Linked DNA regions of Nothobranchius furzeri. The protein of the gene in region 3 purifies or fractionates together with the protein of the main gene of each other region. This does not show direct contact. Links are inferred from orthologs where the notes say so. Each region holds a gene or a part of one and is shown on either strand. Other genes may lie near its edges.

What was found. The genes of interacting proteins can lie anywhere in the genome.
Region 1: the proteins of pnn (region 3) and ncbp3 purify together in Homo sapiens (co-immunoprecipitation; 3 studies listed by BioGRID and IntAct, counting the BioPlex papers as one, with this or other methods). This does not show direct contact. The link is inferred for Nothobranchius furzeri from reciprocal best matches to the Homo sapiens genes PNN and NCBP3.
Region 2: the proteins of pnn (region 3) and clk2a purify together in Homo sapiens (affinity purification with mass spectrometry; 3 studies listed by BioGRID and IntAct, counting the BioPlex papers as one, with this or other methods). This does not show direct contact. The link is inferred for Nothobranchius furzeri from reciprocal best matches to the Homo sapiens genes PNN and CLK2.

Annotation. Positions count from the first base shown.
Region 1 is NC_091750.1:26,022,312-26,025,811, forward strand, and holds part of ncbp3 (nuclear cap-binding protein subunit 3), read right to left. Parts: intron 323-3,500; coding exon 13-322; intron 1-12. UniProt on the Homo sapiens protein: Associates with NCBP1/CBP80 to form an alternative cap-binding complex (CBC) which plays a key role in mRNA export. NCBP3 serves as adapter protein linking the capped RNAs (m7GpppG-capped RNA) to NCBP1/CBP80.
Region 2 is NC_091759.1:6,934,917-6,938,272, reverse strand, and holds the end of clk2a (dual specificity protein kinase CLK2), read right to left. Parts: intron 3,254-3,356; coding exon 3,137-3,253; intron 3,026-3,136; coding exon 2,859-3,025; intron 2,650-2,858; coding exon 2,555-2,649; intron 1,514-2,554; coding exon 1,384-1,513; intron 1,265-1,383; coding exon 1,182-1,264; intron 1,103-1,181; coding exon 1,023-1,102; intron 945-1,022; coding exon 854-944; intron 777-853; coding exon 588-776; 3' UTR 501-587; downstream 1-500. UniProt on the Homo sapiens protein: Dual specificity kinase acting on both serine/threonine and tyrosine-containing substrates. Phosphorylates serine- and arginine-rich (SR) proteins of the spliceosomal complex.
Region 3 is NC_091758.1:40,470,144-40,474,316, reverse strand, and holds the start of pnn (pinin), read right to left. Parts: upstream 2,801-4,173; 5' UTR 2,744-2,800; coding exon 2,631-2,743; intron 2,263-2,630; coding exon 2,182-2,262; intron 1,512-2,181; coding exon 1,440-1,511; intron 1,070-1,439; coding exon 994-1,069; intron 878-993; coding exon 783-877; intron 655-782; coding exon 579-654; intron 468-578; coding exon 312-467; intron 1-311. UniProt on the Homo sapiens protein: Transcriptional activator binding to the E-box 1 core sequence of the E-cadherin promoter gene; the core-binding sequence is 5'CAGGTG-3'. Capable of reversing CTBP1-mediated transcription repression.

The sequences.
Region 1 (3,500 bases), on a different chromosome or scaffold from region 3:
AGCGTCTCTGACCGGATGGTCTTCAGCTGAGTCTCCAGCTCGTCAGCGTACATGGTCATCTTCTTGGTCTTCTTGGGTGATGGTGTGGAGATCATCTTCAGCTCCAGGTCGTAGTCCATCTCATCCGACTCCGACCATGGAGACGGGGAGCGCTCTGCTCTACTGCAAAGCCCTGCCCCCACCGTCCTTGAGTCTCCGCCCCTTTCCTTGTACTCCACTACCCTGTCATCCGAGTCCATGTCCTCGTCTTGGTCCTCCTGCTCTTCTTCCTCCTCCTCCTCCTCCTCTTTGATGGGCTCCTCGGGCAGGTTGACCAGGTCAGCTGAGGGACAGGAAGCAGAGGATTGTGGGTAAGAGGATGAGATAATTAACAGCTGACTGGTGTGCGACGTGATCAAATCAGATGGACAGAAAGCAGTTTCCCTCCTGATAAATAAGAATAATATCCTTTATTTCCTGTAGGTGGTGCGGCTAAACCTGGGTGGTGTGGGGTTGGGGAGGTTAGCTTGGCGCTGCACTGGCAAAATCATCACTGTGGGTCGAACCGCGGTCCGACCAAACGGAGGCCGCCCTCTACGGGGAGCCTGGGCTGCTAACTGGGGACCTTCTCAGTGACCTAGTGGTATCCGCCCTGGGACTTGGAGATCGGGGTTCAAATCCCAGTCGGGTCATACCAAAGACCAACACTGGGACCCAACGCCTCCCTGCTTCACGCTTGGCTTTAAAGGCTTGGATTGGGGGGGTTAAGCCACCAAACAGCCACCGCTCCCCACGGGGATGGGTCAGATGTGGAGATGTAACGTCACCAGAAAGGAAACTGAAATGTAGCCGCTGTCAGTAACTAACACATTTAAAACATTAAAACTGACTAAACGGTTGAAAAAATACAAAAATATCTCCTATTTCTTATCCTTAGAGGTTATTGCTCAGCCTTCTGACAGTCACGCTCACACAGACGAGTTTATTGATGCTCCTCGTTTTTATTTCTGCTGTGAGCCTTAAAATCTCGCCTCACTCCGTCCAGAACTCGTGTTAATGCATTTATACAAGCCGAAGTGTTCATAACTCCATCTCTCTCATGGAGTGAACGTGTGGCGGACATGTTTGTTTACATTTTTGCTGCTGTGTGCCTGAACAGTGGGACAGATAAGTGATGAAGCAAGTTATGCTTACGAACTGATAATAAATATGTTGCTGGTTCCTGTACAATACTGAGAAAACAAATCCTCTTCAGGACGTTCCATTTACATATGAGCCATTTTTAGTAATCCTCAAACTTGTTCATGTCCCTCTTTTTTTTTACAGAACAGAGAAAATTCTGACAGTCACAGAAATAATTACAAAACTCTAAATATGACAAATACAATTTGTTAAATTATAATTAAGCTAAAATAATTAGGAAGCCTTACTGTCATTGTACAACGGTACCATAAAACTCTGTTGGCATCTGAAAGTGTATGATTGCACGGGTTTAGGTGCATTCAGAGTGGTGAATACTTGGGCAAATAAACTAATCTTGAGCCTTGAAAAAACCTTTGCTTTTGGTTGAAAAGAATAATAAGAAAAAAAAACAAATAAACTGTCCAAGATGAGTCAGAACACCTGTCAACAGGTGCGTCTGAGCCACAGGAATCATCTAGCTGCAGAGGCTGTTCAACAGCTTTAGTTTCTGGGTCCATCATGCTTGATTTTAAATATTTCTGTTGAACCACAGTTTAAAAGTGATGTCATGAATTTCACTACGTTTGGATTCATTAGAACTTTTGTTATTTGTACATATTTCAGTGACGGCCGTTCTTTTGTCTTTAATGGGAGGGTATGGGATAACTTGAGAATGAATAAAATTATGAAGCTACCGTATTTTCCAAATTATGAGTCGCACTTTTTTCATAGTCTGGCTGGTCCTGCTGCTTATATACCAAATAATATACACCACGCTGCTGCGGGCCGGCTCCGGACCTGGGGGCCTCATTTATCAAGCTTGCTTACGCACAAAATGAGGACGGAAAACTGCGTGAGCAACTTTCCACGCAAACGTTGGGATTTATGAAAGAAAACTTAGCGAAAAAATGTGCGCAACTTTAAGTTGACTAAGGACCTGGCTTACACACATGTTGGACATGGAGAGCACCTGCAGTGCTGCTGCTGAGAAGGACAAAGTTATGAAATCCTGCAGCATTATCACTTGTACTGCTTCGTTTTCACACAGAACAAGACCCCCCACACGCGCACACACACACACACGCACGCGCGCGCGCGCGCACACACACACGCGCGCGCGCGCACACACGCACGCGCACACACACACACACACACACACACACACACACACACACACACACACACACACCCTGAAGCGGAGAATACGGAATGCAGAATATCAGCAGGGGGACAGATTGAGACAGAATGTCATGCGTCTGTGACAGTGTGTGTCCTGTCACTGTGACCTGATTGATCATGCGCCCCGGCTACTTGGACAAGGGAGATCTCTGTTTGGCTGACTGGTTAGCATGTGTGACTTTCACCTTGGAGTCTAGGGATCGAATCCCTATTGGACCATGTTTTTTATATCCGCCACAGATCTCTCTGAAGAATTCACAACATTGACGGCTTCAGCAACGCTGTGCCACTCCGTGGATTTTCATTATTTGTTTTGCAAAAGCACTTCCTTTCATTTCTCCACCTCACCCACAGGTATCTCAATTTCTGCTTCTGTGAAATTGTGCTTCCTTGATCTGCCTTGATCTACGGTTGCCTTTGGCGGAGCGCTGCAACAAGGCACTTTGCATTGACTATATGGCAGTAAGTGGGTGTGGTGAGGGCGGGATGTGACTAAAAAGCAGCTGAGAACCTTTCTAGATAGTTTCTGATTTATGAAGCGGAGATTGCGTGCAGCTGTGCGTGCTCCATGTTTGATAGATCACAAACCTACTTGGCGTAAGTACTTTTTTTTTTGCTGAGGTTTTAGTAAGGATTCTACGTAATGTTTGATAAATGAGACCCCAGGAATGAGCTCCCCCGTCCCGCTGGGAGGGTTTGAAACACCGCCATCCTCTGCTGGAGATTGTGGTATGCTGCTGCACCCTGATTGTTTATTCTGTTATAGTTAACGGGACTTGTCTTGCAATGTGAAATGCTTGGTCACAGATTTTGTAAGAAAAATAATAAAATTTCACCCCAAAAATGCGACTTATATATGTTTTTTTCCTTCATTATACATTTTATGGCTGATTCGATTTATACTCCGAAAATACGGTAATAATCCTAAATATATTGACTACATTACATGATTTTTTTCCCACGTGTTCGTCATCCAGAGCACATCAACTTCTCTGTTAGTTCCTTTTATGATAATTATCCCAGCCCATTCGCTTTCTTTGTAGCACAACTTTATTGACACTTTATAAATAAGAATGATGCACAAACCGGAATCATCACAGCTGCTAAAAAAAACAAATGCCCTTTTTTTTTTTACCTTTTAAGTAAAATTAGGATCCGGG
Region 2 (3,356 bases), on a different chromosome or scaffold from region 3:
CGGTTCACCATGGAGGGAAAATTCCTTACGGACATAGAGACATAAATAAAAATAAATGGTGATATGTCTATTCTGAAGACACTTGCAGCTTCGGAGAAAAGATGCAAGACTGATTGTTGACGAGAGAATATGTTTAGAACTAAAACTACCCCGGAGAGAAGTTCATTTACAGCTCCGTCTGATTTTTACCCTTTTGTTGGGACTTCAGATCTGGAAGATTTCAGCTCCACGTGGGAGGGGAGGTGGACTTAGTGACTTTAGAAGTGTTCCTTTTCTTTAGGGAGATGGAGAGAGAAGGAGTTCACGAGTCAAAAGGAAGACAGGAGCTGCATGGAGGGCTACTTTGGGTAAAGCGACCTTCCATCCAAGCGTTTTTTTCTTTCACGCTGTGACTCGTTACGTTTATTCTGGTCTTTCTCATGTGACTGTAGAGGCGGGTCTCGGGGGAGCAGGGCTCGGAGACCTCCATGCTTTTAGAAAGAGTTGAAATAAAAAACACCTACAAAGTCCGAGTTTATTTGACAGTTCAGCTGCTTCACATGGAAAGGACTCGATCTCCGCGGGGTTCAGTCTTTCGTGTTTATGGGTCACCGGCTGATGTCTCGATTGCCCTCCCAGGTCTTGCTGCCGCCTCCCTCACCGTGACCCATGTTCTCAAAAAAAGGGTGCTTGAGGGAGTCGGCCAGCGCTAATCTCTTGGTGGGTTCGTACTCCAACATGCCCTCGATTAGATCAAAAAACTGATGGTGATCCTCTGCCTCTGACAGCAGGTACCGCTGATGGAAAACAACAAAAAAGGTCAGTTAAGTATAAACACAGAGCTTCAAATGCTAGTTTATTTCCTCCCACTTACTCGTAACGGTTTACAGTTTTCTCTGACATATTTCCCCGACGACGAGGTCTCGTCCCAATCCAGACGGCCACGATGGAAATACTTCTGCTTCCTGAGTGTTTAAAGTGACCAAAGTAAGAACTAAATCTTTTCTATGAAGTTTAAAACGTTCATGTTTGTTCCTTCTTGCCTGGTCTTACGGATCATCCTAGAGGGCACTGGACCCAGGATTCTCTCCATCATGGCCAGATGTTCCCTGTTGTCATGAGTCTAAACAAACAAAAACGATACGATAAAACATCAGTGGATATTTTGATCCGTTTTAAACGTTTCAGTCAGAGTTGTTTACCTGAAACAACGTGAAGCCTAAGTAGTACTCAAACAGGATACAGCCAATACTCCAGACGTCACACGGGTGACTCCAGCCCAGTTCTAAAGAACACGTTTGTTAATGTTAGAGCTTAAAAACTGCTTGTTTGGCTTCATTTCTAAGTGACTTCTTTGTTTTTTAAAGTAATCAGAAAACTCAACTAGGCTCAAAGTCGGCTCACCTAGTATGACCTCCGGGGCGCGGTAATGCCGCGTGGACACGATGGTGCTGTGATGCTCGTGGTCAAAAGTGGCACTTCCAAAGTCCACGACTCGAACTGCTGTGCTTTTTACCGTCCGCTCCTCCCGTTTCTGCAAGTTTGGGAACCAATGAACTACATTACAGAACCAATAAAGCTGCAAATTACTTCCTTCTGACTGGTTTCATGATAAATATGATTACATCATGTAATCAGCAGACAAGTCACCTCTAAAAGGAAAACATATATACACACTCAAGTTTAGACCACACGTCGATTTAGATTACAAACAAAGCATAAACCAAAGATTCTGTCAACGTGGCTTCATAAGGTGAAAGAGAAACCCTTTCAGTTCCCTCTTGAGGTCGAACGTGGATACAACAGGGAGCAAAAAATAAATACACTACCAGTAGATAGGAGCCTCCTATTGGATAATCTTTGCATTATTGAACCAATGAATTGATGCAAGTCTGCTTTAGAAGGGTCGGATCACCAAGCAGAAAAAGCATGTAAGGAAAAAACAGAAACGACTACAAATGGGTGAAGAAACATCCACTGAATCATTAAAACCAAGAAGAGCTGCAGGAAACCATACGTTTAAAAAAAACTGAATAATCGTGATCATCTTAAAACCAATGGAAGAAAAATAACAGATGCCACGTGTTCCATGTGCACAGTGCAACGGGAACAGCCGTGAGAAAACCTCCGAGATGTGAGCATCGAGGCTGGCGTCTGGTAGATGGTCCGGTGGTCTGATGAATGAAGTAATGAATCCATCATGCCTACAAGCCTGTGGGGGCAGTCTATGATCTGGGGTTGCTGCAGTAGGTCAGGTCTAGGTTCAGCAGCGTTATGACCCCCGACGATGAGGTCAGCTGACTACCAGGTGGATGGATTAATGGATGTTTCCTTCCCTCGTGACGCAGGGATATTTTAAGACATTGGGAGGGGTCCACGGGGAATCTTTGCTGGAGAAGGCTTCGCACAGTTGTCAGATTTCCCCATCAAACAAGATCTTGGTGAAAAACGAATGCGAAACTGAATGGAAATGGAAGGACGCTCCAGGAGCTTACCGAAACAACGCCAGAGTCAAAGCTAAAGGTGTATCATGTTCACGCGGGGACAAAGACTTGGTTTGGGACACGTCTCTTACCTTCTCTACATTGTAGGTCATTGTGAAGTCCGAGTTGACAAACAGGATATTTTCTGGCTTCAGGTCTGTGTGTGTCAGCTTATTGTCATGAAGAACTACAGAAAAAAATCATCAAAGAGCTCATTTAAGGTCACATTTTAAACTAATTCAACTTCATGCTGCAAATACAAAACATCTGATAATAACTCATGTCCTAACAGTAGACAGAGTAAGAATGCAGCCAGATTTACCCCTAACACAATAAGCTCTGCTTCTCATTGGATCTTTTTATTTGTGAGGGTCTTCTGAGGTAAACGTAGCTTACATTTCACAGCTAGGCAGATCTGGTAGGCCATGTGCCTGACCTGACCGATCGAGTAGGGAAGATAGTTGTTCTCCTTCAGAAAGTCAAAGGTGCTGAGAGCCAGCAGCTCAAAGGAGATACACATGTGGCCGTGGTAGTCGAACCAGTCGTACATCTGAACGCACAAGCTGCAACACAAAAAGATGTAACTGTGTAGTATTTGTATGACAGAGTACTGGTGTGACCAGGTTAAGGGAATGCTAAAAAATGCTTCCCATCACAGAACAGTCTGAACTCACAACTTGTTATCCGGATCCTTCTCATTTATCTTCTCCAGTACGTTGATCTCCAGTCGAGCTGCTTCCTTGTATTTCTCAACATTCTTGATAATTTTCAAAGCAACATGAGCTCCTCCCCTATAAACATAAACACGGAAAAATCTCAACGAGTGCAGCTGGATGTGAGGAATGGTAAAAGCACCACTTTTACACCCTAAAAAAACTTTTAAAAAATATAAAT
Region 3 (4,173 bases):
CTGTACAGCCCTGCTCTGATATGGAAGAGCCTGGGGGGGAATCAGGACGTGAATAGCACCAACCACAGATCTGTACCAACTAGCGAGAAAAACAATTTTTGATCTTTGTCAGCAGCGGTTTTAGTGCTTTTCGGTGCACCGCTGCGGATACAGCACCCCTGTAGTGGTGCAACTGCAGTTAAAATAACATCCATATAGCTGGGGGCAGAGTGAAATCAGGCTGGGGCGGCACCAAATTAGCTGGAGGCGGCCGCCACGCAAATTTGAACGCAGGAAAAACCCTGAGAAACGCACGCAAAATATTTTCTCACCAGCTGAGCCAATTCCACTTTCTGTTCCAGCAGTCTCAGCTCAGTCTGCTTGGCTCTCCTCTCTTCAAACAGTTCTCTCTTTTCGTTCTCCACCTTCTTTTTCTCAGCCTCAGCTTGAACCTCGAGCTTCTGCTCGATCTCGGAGCGTCTCTTCAGCTGCACCGTGAACAGATGATGTCAGCGATAAGCAGGAAGAAGAAAAAAACCAACAACCCTCCAAAACAACATGATCCAGGCTGACCTCGGCCACCTCAGGAGCACCCTCACCTTATCTGAAGACTCGTTTGATTCCTGCTTGAATTTCTGCAGCGTTCCCATCAGCAGGCCAAACATACGCCGATTCCTGAGAAGGATGTTTCAATTTCTCTAAATTTTCCTTACATGGTTATCTACTTAAAAGATTAATATTCTATAAAAAGGGTTTAAAAGGCCTGGGTGCAAATCTAGAGCTGAAGAACGGTGTTGGCCTACCTCTGTTTGCCCTTTTCATCCATAGTCTGATCCTGGATGAGATCTCGGCGTGTTCGCTCCTTGGAGGTAGCTACAACTGACGACTGCAACGCCGGCTAAAAGACGACGTACAATTGTGAAAAAGGCAAACAAATTATGCTTTCATAAATAAATGAAACTAATTAATGGAGTTCTGCACATATAAATAGAGGAATAAGACACCCAGCCCTACTTTTTTGACATCGTCATCATCCTCGGCGTCGCTGTCGTGACGCGCGTCTCTCCTGGCCCTCTGATCTCCTGCCAGCCTGCAAACACAAAAATAAAACAATCTGAATGAACTTAAAAAGCATCCGACTGCTTCAAAATCAGCAGCACGCCTCCAAAAGTCAAAGGGTTTCAACAACAGCAGGTGATGCTTGTGCTACATTAAAAAAAAAAATCATGCAACAGATGACTTTCAAGTTTATTTATAAAGCCCTTTCCTACCCCCAATCAAGCAGACCCAAGGTGCTGAACATAGCATAAAGAAAACACAGTAAAACAGATGTGTAGTAAAATACAAAAAACAAACCGTGGTCACTCTGATCCAAATGTGGCAATCTTGCAGGAACTTTCCACACAAACTGGTGAATTTATTTATTTATTTAAAGTTAAAAAAAATTTTAAAGATCTCACCTCAACAGGGCTCCTTGAATGTCCCTCTGCTTGGCAGGAGGGCCTCCGCTCCCCATGTCTGAGAGACTACGCCTGTGAAGGAACACAACATAGGGATAAAAAAAAAAAAAATAGGGCTTAAAGCCAAACAGGACAATCAGATTCGGTCATGAGGCGAGTTCACATACACCCAGTCTGTTTTTGGTTTTATTTCCTTAAAGACACACCTGGTACTCTTCGGGAAATAATAGACTTGTATGCAATTCCCAATGAAAGGTTTAAAACTTATGCAGTCACATGAGAAACAAAATAATGCCTTTATTTAATGGAGCAGTTGGAAGCACAGCTGACTACCAGCAAGAAGGTTGCAGGTTAAAAACCTGGCTGCTGCCTTTTTGCACAGAATTAGCATGTTCTCATGCATGTGTGATGTGATGGCCTGGTGCAAAGGTTTCCTCCCACAGACCAAAAGCGTGCATGTTGGGTTAATTTACTGCATCCTAAAATACTTTGAATAGATGGGTCTGCCAAATAAATCTTTATGCTCCCGTTTCAGTGTAACATTAATCCGTGTAGTTTTATAGCCGTTTTCTATGTGGTTTTTGTCTTGTTTATAACCAACTTCATCAACTTCCTGTTTGGTGTTTATAACACAAAGGTGTTAACTTATTACATAAGCTCCAACAAAGGAAGTCAAGTTTGAATCAGCTGCATCGTTGAAGGAGGCACCATCAGCGTTTTTGACTGGAGTGGGAAGTTTTACCTGAGCAGGTTGAGTCCTCTGCCTCTACCTCCTCCCAGGCCTGCTGCCATGGGGCCGCTGAGCCGGCGGATCTGACCCGGTCTGTAAACGGAAAATTAAAAAAAACAACAAATCAGCACTACAACTGCGCTTGAAACTAAAGTCAGTCAAATGTGTAGTTTATTCGTCGCCAGAAACCCCGATAATAATAAAGGTGACACCCAGACAACATTGAGTTTGGGCCTAAACTTTGCTTATTTTCTGCATTCAACTAATCACACCAAACACCAGATTAGCTTAATTTACACAGAAAAAATAAAATCAGTTTTACAAATAAAACAACTCCGATTGGATTTCTCTGCTCTAAGGCGACATCATGCTACTTTAGCACACGTAGCTTAAATGCTAGCGGGTTAGCAAGCACGATTACACATCGTTGTCCAAACATAGTTTTTTATTTTAGTTTTTACCTTGACTCATTTGGGTCTCGTCCAGTCAGTTTGCGAATATTATCATCCACGCTTTTCAAGCTTTCTTTGGCTTTTTCGAGCTGATCTTGTAAGCTCCGCACCGCCACCGCCATTTTGATGCTAGCTAGCGTGAATCACGTGTTTCTCTTCTTCTTCTTTTATCTGTACAGTCAGCTGTCAAACCAGCTCAATTGTGGATCTCCGCCACCTGCTGGACGGATATGCGAGAAACGACTTTATGAGGTATTTTTAAAAAGTAATTAATGGGACCTTTAGTCATTGCTTAAATATATATGTTGTTGTGAAATGAAAAATCAAGTTCATAAACACTGTTAGACTTCTTAATTAGAAATTGTATTATATTGAGTTCAGGTAACACACAAATTTAGCCTTTTTACTCAATATATAATTATGATTAGTCTGAATTTAAAATGATCAGTTAATCAAAACACAATATAATTTTAAGTTGTGTCGATGTAAAATAAAACTTGATGACGTGTAAACCTCCCACAGTTCCTCACTTTTTCTCAGGCGGACATTTTCAACAGCACATGTTCAGGATATGAAGCACTGTGTTGGTGGAGAACGGTAAGTACATTTATGCGGAATTACACATATTTTACAGTCACCCTGGATTTTGTTAGTGATATAGCCTAATTTAAAACAAGGACGTAACATTATCTCTCCCGGTAGCAAGCGAGACGCTCCAGTTAGCTTTCACCCACATCTGTGTGCATAGCAGTTCGGCTGTAACATACACGGAGACGCAAATTCTGCGATAGTAGAAATTGTTGGGCTCTTTTTGAAACATCTAATACTAACGTTACTCTGATATAGACCATTGTAATTGTCTAATGTTTAAAAGATCACAGATATTGTTAGCCACGGCACTAACTGCTATGCTAACGCTGGGTTCTGTAGGATGTGAGCTATAATGTTGATGCTAGCCAAGGTAAGTAGCTATCACTGATGTGTTTGTTGTTAGTTAAGCAGCGATTGAAACGTTTTATTATCTAAATGTGGAATTATTTTTTGTAAAGAGAAGCATTTTATGTTAATAACCATTAAGAAATGCTAAAGCTAGATGCCGCTTTTCGCTTCTACATTTACGTCAACAGCGCCACCATCTTGTTAATGTTAAGGGCGGGAGTTCAACCCAGTACCGAGCCATGAAAGATGCCAGACTTAAGTGGACATTGCCGCACAATGGTAGGGTAATTATTATTATTATGGTAGGGTAAGGGTGATTTTTGGTGACTTTCGGTGTTTTGAAGAGAAATACGGAGAGGCGACACGGATTGTTTGTGCCATTGATATGTCTCAATAAAGTTTGAAGAAAAAAATTGAGCTGCGTGGTAGCGGACCACCATTTTGGATGGGTCTCCATTCGCCCCTAGTGCAGGTTTTTTCTACGAAGGAATGTGTTCCTCCAGTTAAAACACGTTGTCGTTCTTTTTAACAAAATGAGATATAAGGAGTGGCATGACAGGGCTACCAGAGTCAAATTTTGATGGTAAATAATGAAACTGTTAAAACATTTTTC